2 linked regions of the Caenorhabditis elegans genome follow. The protein of the gene in region 1 purifies or fractionates together with the protein of each later gene. This does not show direct contact. Each region holds a gene or a part of one and is shown in the gene's direction. Other genes may lie near its edges.

Region 1 (3,823 bases):
TCATCAATCAATCATGATTTTCATATTCTCGTTCCTATTGGTCCCATTGACCGCTAACGCAGCCATTACTGGTGATTTGAACTGTACTTCTTATAATGGAACTTCGGTACGAATTTGAAGTCTAAAATATTTTCAGTTAAACATAAAAATTAGAATTTTAGCAAAATTTAACGTAGAACTTTCCGATTATAAACTTCATAAGTTTCAGTATATATAGAGTTTCTTGGAAGAACGTCACACAAATTTTTGATTTTTTTTAATTTTTAAAGAATCCACAAAACTCAAAGATTTCTTTTGAAAATAGAAAATCGTCCACTCTTCAAATTTTCAAAACTTCAAGTCAAGCAGTTTTTTCAATTTTTTGGTTTCAAACAACTTTTAAACATAAAGCAACTCCCAGTACCTAAAAACCTTAAGTTATCTTCACCTTTTATCGATTTTCAGTTCGTCTACACCCCATCCGCTGTCGCATGCTCTAACACAATCTCTGATGCAGCTTGCCAAGCTCTCTACGCTGCTCCAGACACCACTGCCGGATACCCATCAGCTGGAACCGATGCTGAACGACCATTGAACTGCTACACAACCGCCACAGCTACTCCAGCAGCTATTGTTCAAGACATGAAGACTGCTGCTTTGGAGACTTGTGCCAAGACTTGTGGATTGTGCTGCCAAACTGATGCATACAGTTGCAGTAAATGTTTGAAAATTCTAAGAAAATTCAATTGCATCAAATCCAAGAAATAGGTGGGGCCACTTCATGAGTTTGAAAGAGATTAACACCAATTTGAAATAGTTACTTTGTGAATTCTACTTCCGTAATTGTGAACGAATTGTTATAAGGCATTTACGGCAAATCGATTCTCAAAAGTCACGTATTCCGAACACTGAACCCAATGGTTTTTGACTTGGGGTACTACAAAAACTACAATTACGTTTTTAAAGTTTCAATTAATGTTATAATTATTGAAATTTCCTTTATGAAAAATTAAATCTTAAAGGGAAATTGTTAAGATTTAAAAATAAATTAAAATGTTTCGATAAAGTTACATATACATTGATCGAAGCCGACTATCAGATTGACACAAACAAAAACAGGTAAAAAACTGATCATCAAAGTTTTCTAATGATCAATTAAACGAAAGAAATCAAAAACAGAACCTGTTAATGATCTGTAAAATATATCAAATTGAACACATTTTTTAAAAATTCAAATGTATCAGATAAACCCATTAAAGGGTTAGAACTTTTTAAGTGAGAATTTGTAAGAAATTAAAATTTTTTTCATCGACAGGCTAACCTAGCAGGCTCCTCTAACAATTCCACCAATAAATTATTTTCCAATTTCAGACCCACGCCTCGACTGCTCAACAATCACCACTGCTCAATGTAACTCTATCATCTGGAGATCCATCATTGCCACCGACTGCCCATCTGCTTGCGGATTCTGTAACGAGGGAGGATGTGTTGATGCTCTTGTTGACTGTGCCACTGATATCTCAATCTGCACTACAGTTGGAATGCAAGATTTCGTGAATACCTACTGCCAAAGAACATGTGGAAGATGCCCATCATCAAGTACAACCTCTTCAAGCTCCACAGCTTCATCTTCCTCCACATGCACTTCTTACAATGCTGACAGTTCATCTCTCTGTTCCGATTGGGCGGCCAATGGATTCTGCACCAATGCGTTCTACACCAGTGCTCAGAGAAAATCTTATTGTGCATCGACCTGCAAGATTTGCTAATTTTTGTCTTCACATAATTTATCACCCCCGCCCCATTTTTTTTTCCAGCCCAGTGACGCTTTCTGAACCCAATTACCTTATTCATTCTAACGGAACTGACCAATCCAGTAAAAATATCGAATAAAAAGCGTTGTGATTTTTAATGTACAAATGAATGATTGCATGGAAAGCTAACATTGTTTGAACAAGCAAAAAACGTTGGTAAAATGGAAACAATGAATTCATCGCTGTGCACTATTGTCAGACAGGTGATCAAATATGATGAATAGGAGTATATAAGAGATATCGGTTTGTCGAGTAATCATCCAAGAATTTCAACAGCAATTCATCCAGCAATGTATTTCCTCATCAGCCTCTTCTTCGTCCCATTCAGCAGCGCCGTTATTGGTGGTGACTTGAATTGTACTACTTACAATGGAACAGCGGTATGTTTTTAGGATAGCGTTTCGAAGGGCCTCTAATAGTAAGAATATTAAAATTTCAGTTCGTCTACACCCCATCCGCCACAGCCTGCTCGAACTCGATTTCCGATTCATCGTGTGCTGCTCTCTACCCACCAGCAGATGCGGCTATTGGATACCCAGCTGCTGGAAATGATGCTGAAAGACCATTTGCTTGTTACACAACTGCCACTCCAACTCCTGCTCCAGTTGTTGCTGACATGAAGACTGCTGCCTTGGCCAACTGCGCCAAGACCTGTGGATTCTGCTGCTCAACTGACGCCTACAATTGTCCAAATGTTGCTTGTAAGTTCCTATTTTTATTTTAGTATTCCTAAAACACGCTCCCACTTCTTTCAGTCCCACGTCTCAACTGCAACACAATCACCAAGGCTCAATGCGACTCTGTCACTTGGAGAACCATCATCGCCGCTGACTGCCCATCTGCCTGCGGATTCTGCAACCAGGGAGGATGCGTCGATGCTGTCACCAACTGCGGAAACGACTTGAGCATTTGCCAAACCGTCGGAATGCAAGATTTCGTTAACCAATACTGCCAAAGAACCTGCGGAAGATGCCCATCGACAACTGGATCCGGAACTGTCACCACTGCATCTTCGGGATCTTGCACTTCATTCGCCGCCGACTCCAGCTCATCTTGCTCAGCTTGGGCCGCCAACGGATTCTGCACCAACACCTTCTACACAGCTGCTCAACGCAAATCCAGATGTGCCACAAGTTGCAGACTCTGCTAATCTATTAATTTATCAATTTTCTCTGACATTTCTCCTTACTTCTTTCAAGACACACATCGGGTGACTATGGAACTGACCATTCCTTCCGTACAATAAATGTTTTAACGTGCAAGTTTTTGGTGAACAGTTTACAACAATAAAACAGGCATGTTTTCAGGCGTACCTTGTACCTTATACCTACCAGAACTTTTCCGTTTTCTCAGTTATTTTACCGTGGTTTTTTGCAGAATTTGAGAAGTATTAACAAGCATTTTGGTTATTAAAGACTAAAGGTTTAAGTTCATTTTGGCGGTAGGCAGGTGTAGGTCATGTTCCACTAGATGTGTGTCTATCCACCTACGTGTCTTATGAGTGACAAAATGGGTAACGGGAGGCCAGAATTCTGGCTTTTACATTATTATCAGCATTGTTAAGGAAAAGGCGATAGAGGGCGATACAGATTATTTTTCATAACTGCAACAAAAAATTCGGTTCATTTTAAATTCATATCGCAGTTAAAACTATTTTAAACGTTTGATCTTCTACTATTTGAATAATTTGATTAGCTGATTGGCTTATGACATCAGCTGCGGGAAGTCATTATGCAAACGTGAATAATTTGGTAGTACGTGTGTTTTATTGTTTTCTATTTTTTGAATTCAATAACTTGAATAAGAAAAATATAATTGAAAACTAACAATGATGCAAACAAACAAAATAAACTTACATCATATCTTTCGCTTCTTCAACTCAAAGAGTGTTTATTGTACTTTACTTTTCTCTCTCTCCCTCTCACTCTCCATACCTTTTTCATTTCCCAAGTGTCTATCAACAAAACATACACAAAAAGAGGCGTAACTCTCACTCAAAAGATCAGCTGGAGAACTATGCGTACGTGATT
Region 2 (4,398 bases), on another chromosome or scaffold:
TCAAATTAATCCTTATAAAAATTCAGAGCCACGTTCATTTTTCACTGCAGACTCCTTCCCTAATGTATTCAAATATTCAAAATTCTCACATGTTGCGGGCTTTTGTTTTGCTCTAGATCTTTTGATTCAAATTTGAAATACGAAACTTATGACCTCATTTTTTATTTATCCATAGAAATCTGAAACCAAAATAAACTATTTTGAAGCAAAAAAAAAATGTTTCGCAGCAAACAATCTCATTGCCGCCTTCCCTCTATTCTTTTTATTCGTCATTGGCGTTGACTGACTTTCACGCAAACTCAGCAGAAATGTTGCCATTTGTTTCTCTTTTACATGCCGACACTGATAAAAGCTTATACATGTGTACGTCTTTAGGGAATCGAAAAATCTTTGGTAGAGACAAAAGTTTGTTTCAGGAAAAAAAATTAGACAGGGAACTTTCAAATATTTTTCTTGAGCACGTTTTGAGCACACCATAGTTATCTTTCAAAAATAATTTCTTATTACGCAAATTTTAATACTTTGATTAGTTTGTTTGGATTGCAAAAAGTGAGTAATTAGTCACATACTTAGAAAACTTGTTCATTTCAAAACTGAACGGTTTTCAAAAGGTTTCTCACACTATCATCGAAAAAACAACGAACTTTCTATTCTTGTGAAAACTTTGGGAATTATCTTCAAATTTCGAAAGTTAAAAAAATCTTCATCTAATCCTCTTGCACTTTTGCGACTGCACTTGCGTAAGTTTCCGAAGAAAGCGCTTTCAACAACCTTGAATATTCAAAAACCGCACACTTTCCTTGACCCAGTTTTCTTTGGTCCTCTAACTGTAATCTTTTCCAATCATACCTGATGAATTTGAAAATCCTTCATTGTCAAGGGTTTTGCCATCTGTCCGCAAGTCATATTATTCATCATTTTTTGGAGTCGAAGGATCTCCATTTTGTACTCCTCTCCATAAAGATTCTCGCACATTTTGGATCTGAAAAAATTTTAATTAACATTCAAAAGTGTCTAACGTGGTATTGGAGGCAAAAAAAATAATGTTGCAAGAGTTAAGAATCTATGTAATTCAAATTTAAAATCCGATTTTATTGGCGGGCGAACGAGAAAGAGATTGCTGGCAGACGGTAGAGCGGTGTGTCTCCTCTGCCTCTGCAGCGAAAACTGTCTGCCGGTAAAGAGCACTCGGTTAGCGGAGGATGGTAGAGAAAGAAACAGAAAGGGCAACCTTGGCAAGAAGATGGACTGTGACTGTCGGTAGGCAATTCTTCGGTGGTTCTACAACAGCTGGTGTCCCCCTGAGCGCGGACACAAAGGGAATAAACCAGCGCACATTATCTCAAGTCAGCTCTCTGTCATCTCTTCTTCTCGCGTGCTCTCTTGCCTTCCGACTCTTCTCACCGCTGCCACCATTAAAACAGAATGCGTTAAACGCGCTCTATTGACAAACGTGATGAGCTCGAACTACATGCATGTTTTTGCTTGATGTTTTCATACTTTATACGAATTTCGCAACTTTCTTTTATGAGTTTAAAGTTGTAATTGTTCATTCTAGATTACAAATGACTCAATTTGACAAACAATTTAGGTATTAACTGAAAACATAACACTCTTTTTTCAACAGATAACAAATATTTGTAATTAGTAAAAAATTGTCATCTTCACTCCCCCTTGTTTCTTTTTAATTGAAAACGCGTGTAATATTTTACCATCCAGCACTAAATTTTCAGATGAACAATATCCGTGGTTGGTTTTCATGTTTGGCACCGTGCTTCGACTGTGTGGAAGGCTCCAGTTTTGACAATGCCTCGTATCCACGATTTAACGCAGTCTACCAGCCAACAGTACGACTAGATGTGGGGAGAATGGGTATGGTTTTGAACTTAAAGTTGGCTGGCTTGTTCACGTTCCAAAATCTTCACACTTTAAACAAATATTTAAAGGTGTAGTAGAGTCAACTTTTTTTCGTTTAAATGACAGAAAATAGACCCTAATGAAAATATTTAAAAAAAAAACTAAGTGTTAAAAATTTTTTCAATTTCTCAAAAATGAAATGAATGACTTCATTTTTGGTATTTTCGCGTTTTCGTCGATTTTTCTTGATTATTCTTTTATATATGGTTTTTTTGGAAAAATGTTGGAAAATTTGACAAACAGAGCCAAATACAGAGAAAAAACTTGAAAAAAAACTTTAGCATTCAGCCAGAAAACGTGAGAATATCAAAAATGACGTCTCTCATTTGCGCGGAAATTTAAACTTAATTTTGGCGTTTTTTTTTGACTTTTGAAAAATTGAAAAAATTTATAAAAAATTGAAAAATGTTTTTATTAATATTTTTCACAGTCATATTCGGTCACTAGGGTCTATTTTCTGCCATTTAAAGCAAAACATTTTTTGACTCTACTCCACCTTTAACAATCCAGCAGATAAAGTTTCATTAACATGAGTATGTTTTACTAAATACGCTATGTAGTAAAAAAAAGCAAAAAAAAAAGAACTTTAAACTTTTTATAGGTAAAAATGTAGTTATTCTCAAAGAAGGAGAACGAATTTGCGGTATTGGAGGAGCGATTGCAACTGTTCCAATTGTGCAAAACAAAGCATATTTCCAAGTGACAGTTCAACAAACCGGTGAGTTTTTGTTTTTCAAAACTAGTGTTTCCTCAAATGAAATTAAAAAAGTACAAATGTCTTATTTTCAGGAACATGGGGAATAGGCTTAGGACAAAAGCAATCACCATTCGACAAAGTCCCATGCACTGAAAAGTTTTGGGGAATCAGAGATAATGGAGACATTGCAAAGGAAAATGAGGTCGTGGCAAAAATGACAAAAACTGTGGAGGAAGGAGATGTTGTGGTGCGTTTTATAAGCAGAAAAATGGAATTATTTCGTACTTTCAAAACAAATTGCTAGTTTTTTTTAAAGCTTAACATGTCTTACAATGGAATACAAATAATGTGATACAATTTCAAGTAACGATTGCAAATACTCAAATATAATTTGAAGTTTAAAGAAAAAAAAACAAAAGTATTAAACTATTTGTTACCAAGTAAATCTGTTAAAAACTCAACCTTTCAGGGTGTTGCATATGACCACGTGGAGCTCAAGTTCTATGTAAACGGAAAAGCAGTGGAAGATGTGATAACTGGAGTTCGAGGCCCGGTATGCCAAGAGATTATTTGAAGGGATTAAGAAATCACTTAGGAACAGTGCCTAATAAGATTAAGATTCAATATTCATTCGTTGCGCTCAACTTTTTAATATGATCCCTGGCTTGGAATGCAACCATTTGGACACAAACCACAATTTTCCTAATCAATTTTTTTATTGAAATTGTTATCATTTTCAGGTTTACCCTATGGTGTATGTTGACGACTCAGCAATTCTCGATCTCAAATTCAAAAACTTCACGGAAGCTCCACCAGCGGGATTCGGAGAAATTCTCGTGGAACAAACTATTCTATAAATCTTGCCTGATTTTAAAACCATTGACCGTGATTTCCTTCGCTCTTGTGACTTGTCAATAATGATTTTGAATTTCATTGAAACTCCTTAATTTAATCTAAACAAATATGTTCTTATTATTATCAAATAGTATTGAAATTAACACTTCAAAATTGTAAGTTACAATTTCCGTGATGGAGAGTAAAAAATACTAACTTAATACAAACTTTCAGTTCAAACAGAAAATCTGAAATTTTAGGCATGTGGCTGACCGCACTTTTTTAGATGCAATATAACCGATTATTTGTTTTCATATTTACTTACATTTCATAACTTTAAAATTGATCCTGAAAATCAGTTTTTTTGATTGAACTGAAAACTTCTGGCACCTGGAAAAATTTTGTTATTAAATTCTGAAAGCGCTTAGAATTTGAAACAAGTCCCCGAAGAAACATTTTCAAAAAAGTTCATTTTAAGTCAGATATTAATTTTCAAAGTTACACAAACTAAATAAATCTCCTAATAAACAAATGCGGTCATTTATATGGCTCAAATTCAGTTTTCTGGATTGAACCTAAAACTTCTGGCACCTGGAAAAATTTTGTTATTAAATTCTGAAAGCGCTTAAAATTTGAAACAAGTCCCCGAAGAAACATTTTCAAAAAGTTCATTTTAAGTCAGATATTCATTTTCAAAGTTCAGAGTTCAGAGGTAAGAACTTGTTCAGATTTTTTGCAAATTGATCAAATTGAAGAAAATTGATTTTTGATGCCGCATTATGTTTTGTTATATTCAAGTAATCCTGTTGTTATTAAATATCAGGTCACCATTATTGAGTGTTTCTCCGCATTTTGAAAGTAATTTTGAAAATAGAACAGATGAGTTCCTTTTATAGATACATTTATCATTATTTAATTCAAAAAGTTTACAACAAAATTATTATAATGAT

The links.
Region 2: the proteins of phat-4 (region 1) and F18H3.1 fractionate together in Caenorhabditis elegans (co-fractionation; one large-scale study listed by BioGRID). This does not show direct contact.

Annotation. Positions count from the first base shown.
Region 1 is NC_003283.11:4,127,855-4,131,677, forward strand, and holds phat-4 (ShKT domain-containing protein), read left to right. Parts: upstream 1-2,049; 5' UTR 2,050-2,083; coding exon 2,084-2,173; intron 2,174-2,232; coding exon 2,233-2,494; intron 2,495-2,548; coding exon 2,549-2,943; 3' UTR 2,944-3,055; downstream 3,056-3,823.
Region 2 is NC_003284.9:13,517,930-13,522,327, forward strand, and holds F18H3.1 (SPRY domain-containing protein 7), read left to right. Parts: upstream 1-1,733; coding exon 1,734-1,872; intron 1,873-2,518; coding exon 2,519-2,635; intron 2,636-2,706; coding exon 2,707-2,861; intron 2,862-3,083; coding exon 3,084-3,167; intron 3,168-3,354; coding exon 3,355-3,471; 3' UTR 3,472-3,589; downstream 3,590-4,398. Other genes in the region: cdk-4 (Cyclin-dependent kinase 4 homolog), read right to left, coding at 850-975.